2 linked regions of the Oreochromis niloticus genome follow. The protein of the gene in region 1 purifies or fractionates together with the protein of each later gene. This does not show direct contact. Links are inferred from orthologs where the notes say so. Each region holds a gene or a part of one and is shown on either strand. Other genes may lie near its edges.

What was found. Proteins that work in one complex are often made in the same cells at the same time.
Region 2: the proteins of syntaxin-7 (region 1) and snap23.1 purify together in Homo sapiens (affinity purification with mass spectrometry; 3 studies listed by BioGRID and IntAct, counting the BioPlex papers as one, with this or other methods). This does not show direct contact. The link is inferred for Oreochromis niloticus from reciprocal best matches to the Homo sapiens genes STX7 and SNAP23.

Annotation. Positions count from the first base shown.
Region 1 is NC_031980.2:5,910,515-5,917,742, forward strand, and holds the start of syntaxin-7, read left to right. Parts: upstream 1-4,139; 5' UTR 4,140-4,253; intron 4,254-6,275; 5' UTR 6,276-6,376; intron 6,377-7,228. Other genes in the region: leg1.1 (liver-enriched gene 1, tandem duplicate 1), read right to left, coding at 75-226, 324-420, 536-677, 1,274-1,392, 1,647-1,751, 1,979-2,052, 2,125-2,208, 2,368-2,665. UniProt on the Homo sapiens protein: May be involved in protein trafficking from the plasma membrane to the early endosome (EE) as well as in homotypic fusion of endocytic organelles. Mediates the endocytic trafficking from early endosomes to late endosomes and lysosomes.
Region 2 is NC_031983.2:19,368,562-19,376,550, reverse strand, and holds the start of snap23.1 (synaptosome associated protein 23.1), read left to right. Parts: upstream 1-4,941; 5' UTR 4,942-5,136; coding exon 5,137-5,144; intron 5,145-7,989. UniProt on the Homo sapiens protein: Essential component of the high affinity receptor for the general membrane fusion machinery and an important regulator of transport vesicle docking and fusion.

The DNA of each region.
Region 1 (7,228 bases):
TGTTTAATGGACAAAAATGTCATTTTTCAGGAGAAAAAATGAATACCGTGATGTATTTATCTTATGTGTTTGACTCAGCAGCTGGTAGTCATCTCAGTGATGATGGACAGGAAAGTGCTTGTAGCAAAGCTGGGATTCAGGAGGAGCTGCTCCAGCACCTGCGCACCTTTTTGCCTTGTGTTTACTGAACACATGGCACCTTTCCACAGACGCAGCAATGTCCCACCTGGTAAATCATCATCATGAGCATAACTTAAAATAAAAGCTTAGCAATAATATTTTGTGTTTGCTTGTGTGTGTGTGTGTGTGTGTGTGTGTCCTACCAAGCAGACTGTCGATAGTCTTCATCCAGCTGAAGATATACAGTGTGTGGTTCTCCTCCGCAGTCAGACCAACAATGTTAGGTGCGCTGTCGCCCTCCTAAAATGATAAGACAGAATGGAGAGTGGATAAAAGCCTTCTCTCACTTTGTGTGTTTCAGAAAACAAGAAGTGATGTGTAAAATAAACAGATGGAAAAGGTTGAAGGTATGTACCTGTAAAATCCGACTTGGCAGAGGGGATAGGAAAAGCAGTGCTTTTTCCATGTTGGCCTGGAATCGAGCTGCTGCTACATATTCTGCTGAGTTCAGCCAGCTCTGAGCAAATGACACTTCTACAGAGGAATAGTGGCTCTGCCTATAGGAGAAGCAAGAGCACAGAAGCTGAGATTAAGAGAGCTGAAATTTGAGATAAATGTTTGGCTTTTTTGACCACTTGCAGGGAAAAACAGCAAGGCCTCGTCCTTGGTAGTTTTGGTGTGCAATGAACTACCAAAAACATTTCAGTGGACAAAAACAATTGTATTTATAAACATTTATAAATAATAAGGATATTAATCATTTTTGCTTTAATACTTTTTCCAGCTTCATTAGTATTGGCAATAAGGGCATTGATGTTAAAATTTGTGCAGGAAAGAGTACTGACACTGCTAAAACTAACAAGACTGCCAGAAAAAAAAGATGAAGTAGATTTAGTCAATGTCATTGTCATGTATGAATGCGTGTGTACACGATTTGTAATATGTTAAAACAGGATGGGTGACTGGGGAGGAGGGTATGTGTAAATGTTTTAGTAATGAAATGCATTAAAATTATAGATTTTATGATAGATAAAAATAGATACTTTATTGATCTAACAAGGGTTATTGTGTTACAGCAGTAGAATAAAAAATGAAAATGACATAGTCTACAATTAATAAGTAACATGGTTACAGTGAAAGTAAAAGAAATTACCTGGCATTACATGCTGCAGAGGCATAGGTTGAAGCCATTTGGGCGTCCCAATAGACACCGAGGATAGTGTCTTTCTTCACATCATCAGGCAGAAGAGATTCACTAGTAGTCTTCAGACCCTTAAAACAATATGAACAATTAAAGGAGTACACCTATTTCAGCAATGTAGCTTTGTTGTTTCATAAAGCTGGTGCATTCAGGGAACACAGACCTGTTTTGAACTATTTTACTTTATTTTACTACTTTTTAAAATGTAATTTTTTCTGCTAAGGACAAAATAATACAAGTTCAGTTCCCCTTTAAAATTGCGGGATAATTTTATGTGAATAGAAACCGTGTGTATATGTACCAGTGTATATCTGTGTTTCAATACCTGAAAAAAAGCATCCCACTTAGACATGGCATCAGGGTATTTAGCTTTACAGTCAGCATAAGTTGTACAATAGTCCTGTACTCCTGCAGGCACCTGCATCTGGACCTGGTAATGTAATAACATACATGATAATATGCACTATATAACATACATTATAAATAATACAAAATGGTCATATTCATTATTATTTAAATTGCAAATATTTGTGTGATGGCATAAAAAAAGTGTACTCTTCTTCGTCTTCTTCTTCTTCTTCTTATTATTATTATTATTGTTGTTGTTGTTGTTGTTGTTTTATTTTCTAAGTGTTCATTTTCAGTTTAAGACAGTACCTGAGCTCCTGCTCCCATGAAGCCCTGTTGTGCGGCAGACAGAAAGGGAAGTACAGATGCAAAATAGTTCACACCTGGAGAAACATAAAGAGGTCATTTGTATTCCCCCTGTGTTTGTTTTTTATGCATTTGTTCCTTGTACTTACAGGCCCACCAACTCTGGGTAGAAATGCACAAAGGCTCTGCTTCCAGGCCACAAGTTGTTGCACCTGTTGGATCAGCGAGACGCCCTGTAGAAACAACAGATCATTAGCTGTGGTCTTGTTTCTTTGTTAGTTGCATTATTAGGAGGCTCTTTATTCAGTTTTGTACTACAAAGTTTGTTAAATTGTGATGAAAGGATTATTATTGATTTTAAAAAAAATAATAAAATTATATTTTGACTTCACCTGAAGTTAACATCCATCCGAGCTGCAGTGGCAGTCCCCACAGCGGACTGTCAGTAGCATTTGTCCCCATGGATCCCATGAAGGGGTCTGTAGCAGCTATCATCAGCCGGTATAAACTCATGCGGTGAAGGTAGTTCCAGGGGTCTGGAAGCAGAATCCCATCATGCATTGGCAACTCAGTCACTTGGCTGGCCGTTTGTGCCCAAAGGATGGGAGCGCCATTTTCTAGAATTACTGCAGAGCTGCTGAGAGACACTGCACATGCCAGGACGAGGCCAAGGACCAGCAAACGCAGCATGACTGTGGTGTTGGGTCTGCAGAGAAGGACAGAGTCAAGAGCAGCTACTCTGGACTGAGAGTTTTCCTTTACATACAGCGTTTATATAACTTCTCTGAATCCCAAAGTCAGTGCATGCAAATCTGCACCCAATCACATTAGTCCATGTGACATATGGCTCACTGGACCCTGACTAACAGATAAGAGAATTTAAGTACATACAGCTGAGTATTGCCCAAACACTCAGAGAATACTGAGTTCAGTGCAAAGTACATCTGTTCATCCTTCGAGCTGATTTGTTTACATGAACCCAAATCCACAACTTTTATAGTGATACCATCAGTAAATTGAATCTGGAAACACAAACCCCCAAATAACTTCTAAGAATTCTTGGAAAAAGTATGCAGATTTTTACCCCCTTAAGTAGCCAAAGATAACACTTTTTATCTGGAAAAACTCATCAAATTTACTTTCACATACACTCACTGAAGACTTCATTAGTTACACCTTGCTCACACTAAGTTGGGCCCCCTTTTTTCATCAGAACTGCCTTAATTATTTGTGTCACAGACTCAACAAGGTGCTGACCATAGCTTTAGTTTTATGTTCTTGGTTGATAGGAGTGGCATCCAGTGTGCTGCTGGAGCCCATCTGCTTCAAGGTTCAGTGGTTATTTGAATTACTGTTGCCTTACTATAATCTTGAAACAGTCTTTTTTCTCTTTTTTGGACCTTTCTTTGTAAACACTAGAGATGGCTGAGTGGGGAAATTCCTAAAAGAGCCAGACCAGCCCATCTGGCACCAACAACCAACACGTTCAAAGCCACTATAACCTTTCATCCCCATTCTGATCCTTGGTTTGAACTTCATTAGTTCATCTTGGCCTTGGCTATCTGCCTGTACATTTAGATATGGACTACATGTCTATGCATGTAGTTGCTGCCATGAGATTGGCTGATTAGAGAATTACCTTAATAATCAGTCAAACCATTGCACTTAACAAAGTGCAGTACAGTCCAGTGAGTCTGTACTGGATACAGAAGTTAAGAGTGTTATTGATTTGGTTAATCTGAGTGAACTTTGATGTGCTAATGCTGTCTGGTAAACAGAACATGTCTCGTAGCTTTATGTAACATCATAATGTGTTTTGTAAATGACCGCACTTTGCATGGACAATACAGCAAGGACGAAATTATAACTACAATTTTAAAAAGTTGAGGTGGTGTTAGGAAGTGAACTGTTAGGTAATACTATTTTAATCCAGATTCTGCATTATTCTGAAAGCAAAGCCCATTTTATATGTAAAGAAGGGTAGCAAATTAAAAAGAAATGTCTTTCAGCAATATGGTGGCATGTAAGTCTAAAGTAGCATATTATTAAAAAAATGTCCAGTACAAGCTTAAAGGAAACAATTTAACAAATGCACATATCAGCAAAACATTAAAACCAGTTGTTGCTATAAGTCGCCTTTGTGCTGCCCTTTAACTGCACACAAATGCTGTGTTGTAACCTCAAGCTGAGTGTTTTGTCATCTTGCTGTGGATGTGACATGTAAGGGATTGATCCAACTGAGGGACACTCACAGTATTGTGGTGATTTCTCAGACAAGGTAGGCCTACCTAGTAGGATATTCTATGTTGTTGTTCTTTTTGACTTTTGACATTTTGACTCTTTTTGGGAACTATTAGATAATATCATTACCAATGCGACTATTGGTATCGAATTGATACTAGCATGATAGAATCAATACTGTTCTATTATCTGAGTTCAGTATGCAGCTCACTGCCAATTTTTTAAATAGCCTATAGCACATTTAAACCACAGAAGGTGACCCAAAGCGCTTTAGAGACAGACACATTTACGTTACATCCATCATTTGTACACAGTTCATTTCTGGGCTATTAATGCATGAACATGGGTCCTTTGGTCTTGTGGGTGTGTCCACTGTGGATCTGGTCTATTCTGGCTCATTCGTGGATGTTCAGATTGAGATCTGAGGAGTTTGATTTATGCAAATTAGCTGTTCTTAGCAGTTTTTTGGGGTGGCAAGATGCACTGTCCTGCAATAGGAGGATGCTGCCATTGGAGGGTGCTAGAGAATTGTTTGGTGGATAGACACCTGTAAAAGTAACATTCACAAGGTTTTCCATGAAAACTCTGCATTGCGAAGAGATAATGAATGTATTCATTTCATCTGTCAGTTGTTTTATTGTTGTGGTTAATCAGTTATGACCCATGTTAGCTGCAGAACCCCCCCCCCCACCAAAGAGTTAATTAGGTCTCTCCGGGTCCCTCAACACCACATTCACTGGTGAGAAGGCCCAGCAGTCCATCTATTTTCTGTGGAAGGTGAGAAAAGTCCATCCATCCATCCTAACGACAATACAGGGTTGACTATTAAGAGTATCCCAAGCAGCTGCATAACTATCTGACATGGGAACGGTACAGTATCAGATCACAAAATCCTTGCAGTGAATAGTGAAAAGTGAAAACAGCTGAAAGAATCACCAGTTTCTTTCCCCACCTTCAAGGTCATATCCCACAAACTCTGTATTCACAAAGCCACCATCATTGTGTATGATCCCACACACACCTGACGCAAACCTTTTACTCTCCTGCCACCTCACAAGAGGTACCAGAACATCTAGGCCCTCAGTTCCAGTCAGTGCAACGGTTTCTTCCATTAGGCCTCAGAAAGCTCAGTACTCAGGGTCTGGACTGGAAACTCATGCACATAGAAGTGAACACCCTATGAATCAACTAGACTAGTAACATACATACACACTGAAGCAAATGGACACACTTTACACAATCATACTTAAATTGTTGTGTACATTTCTGCACACATAGTGCAATTAAATTTTACTTAATGCCAAATCAAAAGTAGCTTTATATTTTAAGGTAAAGAACCTACAATAACAGAGAGAAAACTGCTACAATCAAATGACCCTCTATGAGCAAGCAATTGGTGACAGTGGGAATAAAAAACTCCCATTTAACAGGAAGAAACCTCTGGCAGAACCAGGCTCAACAAGGGGAGGCCATCTGCAGTGACTAGCTGGGCATGATGGGAGGGAGACAGGCCAAAAGACACACTGTGGAAACCAACCAGCCAACTTTACCATGTAGAAAAACGGCATAGGTGTGATGTTGAAATTGCACTAATTGTTTCTTATATTAAAGGGGAATAAATGTGCTATTAAACGTCTTTACGTTCAGAGAAAGGGGGTTTTGTAAAGTTGGCTGTATGTGGCCCACGATGTAAAAGGAATGTATTCAATTCAATTTGAATTCAATTTATGAGGCCGATTCTGGGCCCCGAGCCTCATGTTTGACACCCAAGACCTAAACAGAATTATAATCCCTTTTACTTTTATGGCTCTTACACTAACTAGAAGCATTGATGTTGTCCAGTGTAAACTAGCATTTTTAAAACTGATTTGGACCCCTCACCTGCCCAGGAACCAGCATCTCACCTGGTAGCCTACAGTCGAAAAGTAACCAAGAATGAAAGATCATGAAATACCTAACCTGTACTGCGTCGTTGCTCTATTTTTAAGAAAAGGACAGTTTTTGTTTCCATACTTTTCTGGGCTCCATTATGTTACCGTTTGACACTTTTTATTAACAGCTGCGATCTCGCTGTGAGTGCAGCAGACATCATGTGATGGAGGAGTGGCCAACGGAAAAAATCAGGAAGCACATCGACGCAAGAAACAAGTCACGAGAAAGGTAAAGTTCAAACTTTTACGCAACTCAAGTAAACTTTTAGTCATTCTTGACAATTTCACTGACGTTTTAGACGACCAACGCATTTTTACGAGGCTGTTTCGTATTTTTAAGTTTGTTTGTTTTTTTGCAACGAAAAGCGACAAACATCTTCATACTGACTTCTCTTGTAACTTCATGACTCTTAAACCCGCTAATGTTAAAATGAAGAGCAGTGTACAGGTAACATTAGAACAGCGTTAACCCCAACAAACACAAGTAGGTCATAACTAAGTATTTGCACTTCATCCGTTCATGTTGATGGCATAAAAAAAAATACTCTGCTGATTTCCGCATTTTTTCCTTGTTGGCAAGGAGACAGAATCAGCCTCAGAACATGCACGTTAGTTTCATTAACCCTAATCACACTTTAATTTTTCATTAAAGCAAACGAGAAATATCCCGTCACTGTGACAGTTTCTTAGCAGGTGGTTATTTGCATACTAGGTTTCAGTCTTTTTTGAGTCAGGAAGTCTTATGAGGAGCTTGTTCTAAATATTCCTGACCCAACCCTCCTTCACTTCAGGTTGTACAGTATGATATGAGCAAATATCCCATAAGGAAATGCATTACGCACCGACACACCTTTATCAGACTGTGGGCCTGCGCTTTTGGCCTTGATAGATGGGTTTTTTTTTAAGGTTAAAATGTGAAAATCTTTGAATTCTGCAGCATATTTATTATATTTTATTTCACAGCATCGATATCAAATCAATTTTAGCTGTAATGATCATTTGTGTGACTCCCTCAATAAGGTAAGTGTATTAGTTTCACAGTGTTTTGAGTGGATAAGTACCAGCATAAAACCTGTTATTG
Region 2 (7,989 bases), on another chromosome or scaffold:
GAGTGGAATTTCTTCAGTGGAAATGTGAATTAACTTTGTTTGTTTTTTGTTTTCTTCCTCCAAAGTGCTGATGATTGTATTCATATATTAGACTGCACCTGGGTCTTTATTTTACCCAGTCTATCTTCCTCTGACATCAAAGCTGTGGGACGGTGAGCAGTGAGCTCTGCCAGTCAAAGCATGAAATTATTCAGATGAAATCACCCTCTCCAATCTTCAGCTGTTTCTCCCTCAGTGATGTGACAGCTAATCTGAACTGCTGACAACAAGGAGAGTGAATAACTTGATAGCCTTTCCTCTTCTGTTTCCATCAGATTTCAAGAAGGGTGGCCTGCAAGTGCTAATAACCAAGCAGTGTCTTCGAAGTTGACCTATTACGCTTTTTGTAATTATAAATGCTGTAGCAGTGGTTGGTGGTCAGATCAGGCTTCAACCTGCTTTTTCTACTCATGGCTCTATATGAGTAGAGAGGGGAAATCATTCAAATGATCATTTAAGGTACTCAGATCTGGCTATGACAATAGGAGCTTCGAAGACCTGCTGTTAAAACCTTTTGTTTGGGAGGGGCAGCCAATCGGGAGAAAGCTGGCTTCAAGCAGGATGGTCTTTCAGAGAGAAGAGCTCGTTTCAGGCAGTGGATGAAATAAGTGGCTCCACAGTAGCTTAGTATAAGATAAATTATTTTGAACTTTAAATTATTCACACTACCATACTCCCAGAATAAAAACACTGAGCTAGAAATGAGCATAAAAGGAGATCTCATGTACTGACTGCACTTGCACTTTACTGTATCTCCATGGTCTAAACTGCATTACATTTTAGAAGGAAAATACTCCACTAGATTTCTGATTTTGCAAAACACAGATAGAAGAAAGACCTCCTCTATACACAAAGCTGTGTCCAGATAGATTTCAAGTATTTCTAAGTGCATTTTTGTGCACTTGCCTTCTTTTTTTAAAGGTGGAAATGAATGAGAATGCAAACTGAAGCTGAAATATTACACTCAAGCTTTAAACGAGACCAACACTTGGAGTGGGTAAATGTTCAGATAGGTGGCTCAAGAAGGAGTTAAATTACATTAAAATAGATTAAAGAAATAATACATGAAACAAACAAAATTCACTTGAAATTTGCTCTTTTTAATTGCACCATCTGTTTATGATGTCTTCTTCTACACTGGTTTTATGGCATCTGACCAACTGTCTACAGCTGTTTATCTCAGTAGGGGGTTATCTCAAGTCCCTAATATTTCACAACAGTGTGTCTTAATATTTTACTTCTATTTTTAGACTGTCTTTAAATTCTATAACATTATAAGCTGGAATTGAGTGGAAACTTTGAGCGTTTGTTTATGACTTGTTTTAATTTTCACCAACATTGATGATGATTTTCCCTTTACACAAGGTGTCATTTAAGTAAGTGTTAACTGTTAAACTGTTTAAAAGAAAGCAAAAAGTAAATCAATGAGAATTAGTTTTCTAAGTAAAAAGAATTGTTGTAGAATTCATCAATTTATTACCCTACATTTATTTTGTACCCCTTCCTAGACCTTTTGGCCTATAAATCAAGAATCCACACACTAACAAATGTCTAAAAGCATAAACATTTGAGTTTGAAAGGTCAAAGGTCAAGTCTGTACAAACATGGATGTAATGCTTACTGGTTGGAGGAGGAAGATTGTGACCATTCCACTGTCTCTGCAGCTGGACTGATCTAACAAGAAAGTTTAATGTTTAACAAGTGAAGATGAAATGTTTGCTTTCCTCCTTAAGCTCGTTAGGTTTTCCCCATATCCGGACATAAACAGCCAGACATACAATAGGAACTTTTCCTTTTGGGGTTTGTAAGGGCTAGTGCTAGCTTGAAACATTCATCAGCTTTGTTTTAAAAGCGTTATTTGAAACTACTGACTTGTCGCTTTTGGCAGCGAGATGTAAAAAGAATATCAGAAATGTTGTTTTGGGGGAAAACTGAGGCACATGAATAATAGATGAGCCTTGGCTTTCCATGTTTGGCCCTCCTGTGCAAAGCGGGCTAATGGCTATCGATGTCTCTAGTTTCCTTCAAATTGCTTCACATGAGAGCTCAATTCAAATGGAGAAAGAGTAGATTGCAGTGAAAAGGAGACGAGGGAATGAAATTATCTCTGAATATTGAGATGCACGCTTGGTCAGCCAATTCGTTGTCCTGACAAGTATCAGGTATCAGCGGAATTAGCCTAATGTTAAATTAAGCCCGATCAAGCAAGGCCTTGAAACATTCCCACGTCTCGGTCCTTGTGCGAGGAAAGATGGATGTACGATCCAACTGGAGCGGCGCCAGAAATGAACAGATGTGCTCCTTGAAATCACGAGAAACAAGAAATCAGGGCTATGTCACTGACACACATGCTCAGACACGCTCTTTTATATCCCCATGTATTCTCTTCCAGATCTAATTAATCACTTGATTATTTTATCTATTTTCACTGGCTGCCATACACATGGGACAAAAGTTGGCGAGAATAAACTTGGCCTATATGATGTTAGTTTTGGCAACAATCAAAAAGCAACCGAGGAAATACAGATGGCGATCTCCATTTTTCTCCCCCCTCTTTCCCTTTCCCCCTTCATCTCCTCTTCTGATGCTTCCTTGCGCTCTCAAACACATTATTAGGGTATAGGCTAATCTATTCTTCTCTCTCCCTTGTATTTTTGTCTCCTCATACTCAACTAACTAGCATGATTTAGGAATTATGGAATTAGGGCAGCACTCCCATCTCTATTAATGAGGAACAGGATGATGAAAGAGCTTGTTCCTCAATGTGCCATCTGCAGTCACTATTACACATTCACCTAATATATTTCTCTTTCTATTCTTTGCCCTTACCTTCCTCTCTCTCTCTCTCTCTCTCTCTCACACACACACACACACACACACATTATACCTTACTTGTAATTACAGAAGAAATAATTTCAGCTCTTCAGGCACTGTTGGATGTGGCGTGAAATGGTGAAATGGCACAGCAAGAAAGTTAACTATGGACCCCCACACCCTTACATAGACACATGCACAAACACATTTGCAGGAGTCCAGATGGGCCGTGTGTTATTGCTGAATAATGCATGCTATGTAGACTCTATAAAAGATACATGGGCAGAGAGAGCTAAGAATCATTCAGGCACCATGGCCAGTTTGGTGAGGGCAGCGTTGGAGCATCCCTTGTGCAAATTTGGAGCTATTACAGGCTTTTCAGCTTGTACATATTTAGCTATAGGTGACCCAACAGGGAAAATATTTAGCTCCAGTTAGAGAGAAAAATAAAACTTGCCTTTTAGACACTGTCAGCTGATATTGTGGCTGGCACTCTGCCCGGTGTCTTTGCAGTCACCTTGAAAAGGCTTTTGTGGTTTAAACCATAAAACTTGGGGAATTACACAGCAGATTCTTTGCTTGAGGCTCGGATTTCAGAGCATCGCTTAGAAACACTATGAAAAATATCCAACAGTGTGTCTTCATGTAAAATACCCAGAAGAGGGGGGGGCGACGGGGGTGAGGGGGGTAGGTCCAGGTGAAGGGTAAATGCTGCACTCATGTGGGGAAAATGAGCAGCGCTTTTTTTTCTTCTTTTTCCTCTGTGGAGTCATATGACAGGACATGCGCATCATTAAGTGTTGCGTTCAATGCTAACGGAACGCTCACTTCTCTATGAGTCGCAGTTTGATGCACAGTAAGGCCACAAAGAAAATTGATTAGCAAGAAAGAAACACTAATCTTAAGTGGAAGCCAAGTAACTTCACACAAGTTGTATTGTCTCATGATTTTGTTAAATCAGTATACAGCAGCTAAAAGATAAACACAGACGAAAAACACAAGTAGTTTCACAGTTATATTTAAGTCAACTTTTCGTGTAAAGTTGACTACCTGAGAACCAGACTACTTTTTCAGTTTTAGATTGTTAAACCTATAGGAAGAGAAGTAATGCATGCCGTGCCTCAAATCGTTCTGGGTGACCGTGGGATGCAAGGTCCTTTATGTGAAGTTGAAGTGCGCCTCAAAATCGTTGAAAGTTTTGAGTTTTCATATTTCCGACAGCATATGAAAGCACCATCTTCGGACAGACAGCGGAACCAGTGAAGGAATTCGGGAGTTGCCAGTGCCAAGTTCACATACCGTCAAGAAGGAGGAGTTTTCAGGTCATCTTTTCAAAAAAAAACAAGGAGGGTTAACTGTAAGTATTTACTCCCTTAATAAATATCTACCTATACTTTCCTCTCAACACAGTTGTTTGAGTGTTAGCGTTAGGTAGTTGACAAGAAAGCGGAACTAGCTAACTAGCAGGCTAGCCAGCACATTAGCCAGTTTACGAAGTTACCCTCTCGGATTTTACCCTCTTTGCGATAGCTGAGCACCACTGCAAGTTTTCAGACAATGTAAGACAAGTTTAATTCGCTTTGATAAACTGTTTGACACTTGTCTTTCCCTCTTTTGTAACTTTTTCATTAAGTTTAAGAAGTGTTGTTTTGGAAACCTCTCGGCCCCAGCGATGGTGTACTGGGTGTGGGACACTGCCTGAAACTACGGGGGTTTCTTGTAATACTTTTGGTTTGTTTCTCATTCAGGCTAACGTCACCTGTTTATCAAGTGACCCACGTTACGTGGCCACTTGGCAGTTAACCACAGTCAGGTGTGTGGATACGTGTTACAGCAGGAATCATTAACCACATGTCGTATTTTCCTCAGTGTCTTCTGTCTTGATAGTCAGGAAAACCTGCTTTTGTCGTATATAAATAGTGGAATCAAATGTCACAGTTTAGGCTTTGCTTGTCTGGTATGATGTCATAGGTCCCCTTGTTTGTTATTAGTCAACCCTCCTACCCAAAACATGACACACCTTCCTCCTCGGCAAAATAAATAGGTTGTCTTTATTCAAGACAGCCTGTAAGAACAAATCGTTGAACAATAGCTTCTGTCTGATTGTTTAAAGAAAATAAAACATCAAGAGTGAAATGAGGATATGTGTTCAACGTGATTGGAATAAGACGCCACCTGTGCTCCAGTCAAATCTGGAGGAACAGGTTTGGGTAGAAGAACAAGAAACGCATTTCCCTGTGTGGTGTTTGCCACTCGTGCTTGGTCAAGTGAAGAAACTGCAACATGAATAGGTATGTTCTTTAGCCTCGGTTGTATTATTTCCTTTGTTCCTCTGAACTAACATCTTTCTGGTTATATTAACTGTGGAACGAATTTAAGGGTTGGGTACGTAGTTTGGGGTGCAAACAAGCGAAATGTAATATCTAAGTCATATATTTGGTAAATCTAGTCACATATGTGGCTAAACACGGAGAAAAATTGCTATCAGTTTAAAAAAACTCTGCTTTTACTATCACATTTCGTTCTTTATCGCTGACATGTTCATCTGCCCTCGTCGTGGCTATCTAAAGAGTGTACGTGTGTAAATGAGTCCACCTTCATAGTTATAGTTGTAAAGTCACATCAGTGTCTTGCCAAGTCCAATAATCGGTCAGAAAAGGCAGTGAAGCCTGAGTGAATAAAGTGCACTCTTGTCCAAAAAAGGGGAAAAAGCAGAGTCAACAACATTAAATCCTCTGCACTGTCTGCCAAGTAGACTATCCATGTTTTTTTTTTTTCTTTCTTTTTTTTTCTTTCCCCCTCAGGATGTTTAGTGGCTGCAGGTTTGAAAGGGAAGTTGTAGTTCAGGGGTTATTTGCAAAACAGGAAAATGCCACTTGGACGTTAACAAGGAAAAGCAGATGACAGGGAAAATGCGGGGGGGAGCAGTGTTTGCATCTAAAAACTCTAGCCTTGGAGTAAATGATTCAGCTTTGTTTTTATAGTTTACTGCTTCTGCCCTTGACAGTACAGTGATAGGAAAACAAGCTTAATTCTTTGCTTATGATGAGCTTTATCTAATGTTGCCTTGTTCACCAAAGCTTGTCTGAGGCCATTACGCCAGTCATTTTTAGCCTATCCCATGATACAAGACTGCATGAAGGTCACCTGACAAAGTAATTTTGTTTAGATTGGATTTGTATCTGCTAAACTCCTGCACGAGGTAACATCAGTCATTATGTGATCCGAATTATAACTGCAACAATTAACACACTTTGTTCCTCTAAATGAATTGCATTGAAATGCACAATACAATTTGGCAGACAGCAGCAAAGGCTTGTTCCTCATGTATCCTGTTTTTAGATCTCTAACAAACATAAGCATTTTCTTCTGATCTGTTTTCATCTGTCTTATTTTGACTGAACTATTCATGCTCTGCATTGTTTGAAAACTACAGAGGGCACAAAAAACAGACAGTTTTCACACTTTCTGGGTTTTAGTTGCTAGACACGGTCAGCTCTTCCTGCTGCTGTTCACAGCTTCTTGATGATGCTGCCTCATGCCTAGCCTGCTGTTTTTACAAATTGTGCATGATCATGAAATCTGAATGTTGATCTGAACAGAGCATGCACTGAGCTGGCAAACATGGACTTGTGCGTCCTGATGTGATCAGCTCTGGGAGTTAATCACATCCAAGATTATAGTAGTAAAACCGCTATGTGTGTCACTTTGTTCTCAGGCATTAGCAGTTTTTGGTGACTGGGTAACTGACAATGAAGCTTCTTGAGAATTCAGTGTTTAACACAGAGGAAAGAAAGTTGTTTGATTCACATTACAAGGCACCTTTTTTATGGATATATGACAGGACATGGATTTTATGGATGTTATACTCTTCTGCTAATTAAGTTGATTTAGTGTTTCAGTACATATGCTGACCATAAAGATACTAGTGAGTGCACAGCCTGTTATCTTATAATCACATTTTGTCATTAGTTTCGTGTTAAACCAACCATAGAGCGCATCTGCTGTTATATAATTATTCTAATGTAGCATAACAGTTATGTTTTAGGTATTTATGCACTTCATTTTCACAGTTCTGTGTTGAAAGTAGCTTTGAGACTGACTGCATTTTGAAAATTCCGAAGAAAATCACAAGCTCATCACTTAGTTGTAGTCAAATAAGTTAACAAATGTAAATACCATCTTAAACATCTGAATATTCCTAAAGGACTTTATTTCATCTGTTTTTATACACTTTTACTGGTTATTTAATTGATCTGCAACCTTGAAATGTCTAACAATAACCAGTGATTTCAATTCGCATTTATGTATAGTAGGCAGGCATGATAAGTGTTTTTCCAGCCAGTTGTCACTATCCAGTCTCACGCCTCTGATTTCCATATCACAAGCTCCATATCCAAGTTCCCTCATTGTTGGCATACATGATTCTACTAGCCATCCCACTGCTAAGCTTTACATGCTTTATCAGTAAGCCTGCTCTGTCCAGACTCACAACACTCCTTCAGGGGAAGGAAAAGAGCCTGATTTGTTTGGATTTTGCATCTTTTCTTTCCCTCTCCATATGAGTGATACAAACAAGGTGAACATTGATTGCACATTTAAATGCTTAACCTTTTAAATGCATCCTCTATTTTTAGTAATGTAAAATGCTGAGCCTCCTTTTTTTTTTCTTTTTTTTTTTGTGGTCTTTCCAAACCTTAACGCAGGGATTCATTTATCCTTAATTATTTTTAAAGCATTAATTGTTCTACATTTATGGTTCACTGCTCTAAAAAATTTTCTCAAATCAGATTTGATAACTTCGTAGCGGCTTGTCAATGTGAGGAAACTTTCCACCACAACTTATCACAGTTTTTCTGGTAGATTTATCTACAAACAAGACAGGAAACAAAGTAGACCTAACATTTAATGAGTTGTAATCTCTATAAGCACACATCTGTAAGCACAATATATGCAGTATCTGCAAGCAACATCATTTTGATACCTGAAAATGTCAGGTTTCCACTTCTCCTATTCAACAGGCTTTGGTTAAAAGGTCGGGGGGAAAAAAAGTCGGAAACCATTGGTTTGTTTTGATAATGACTGGTGAACGAGAAGTGTGGCCTTGATATCCTTTATCTGCTATTGTAGATATCG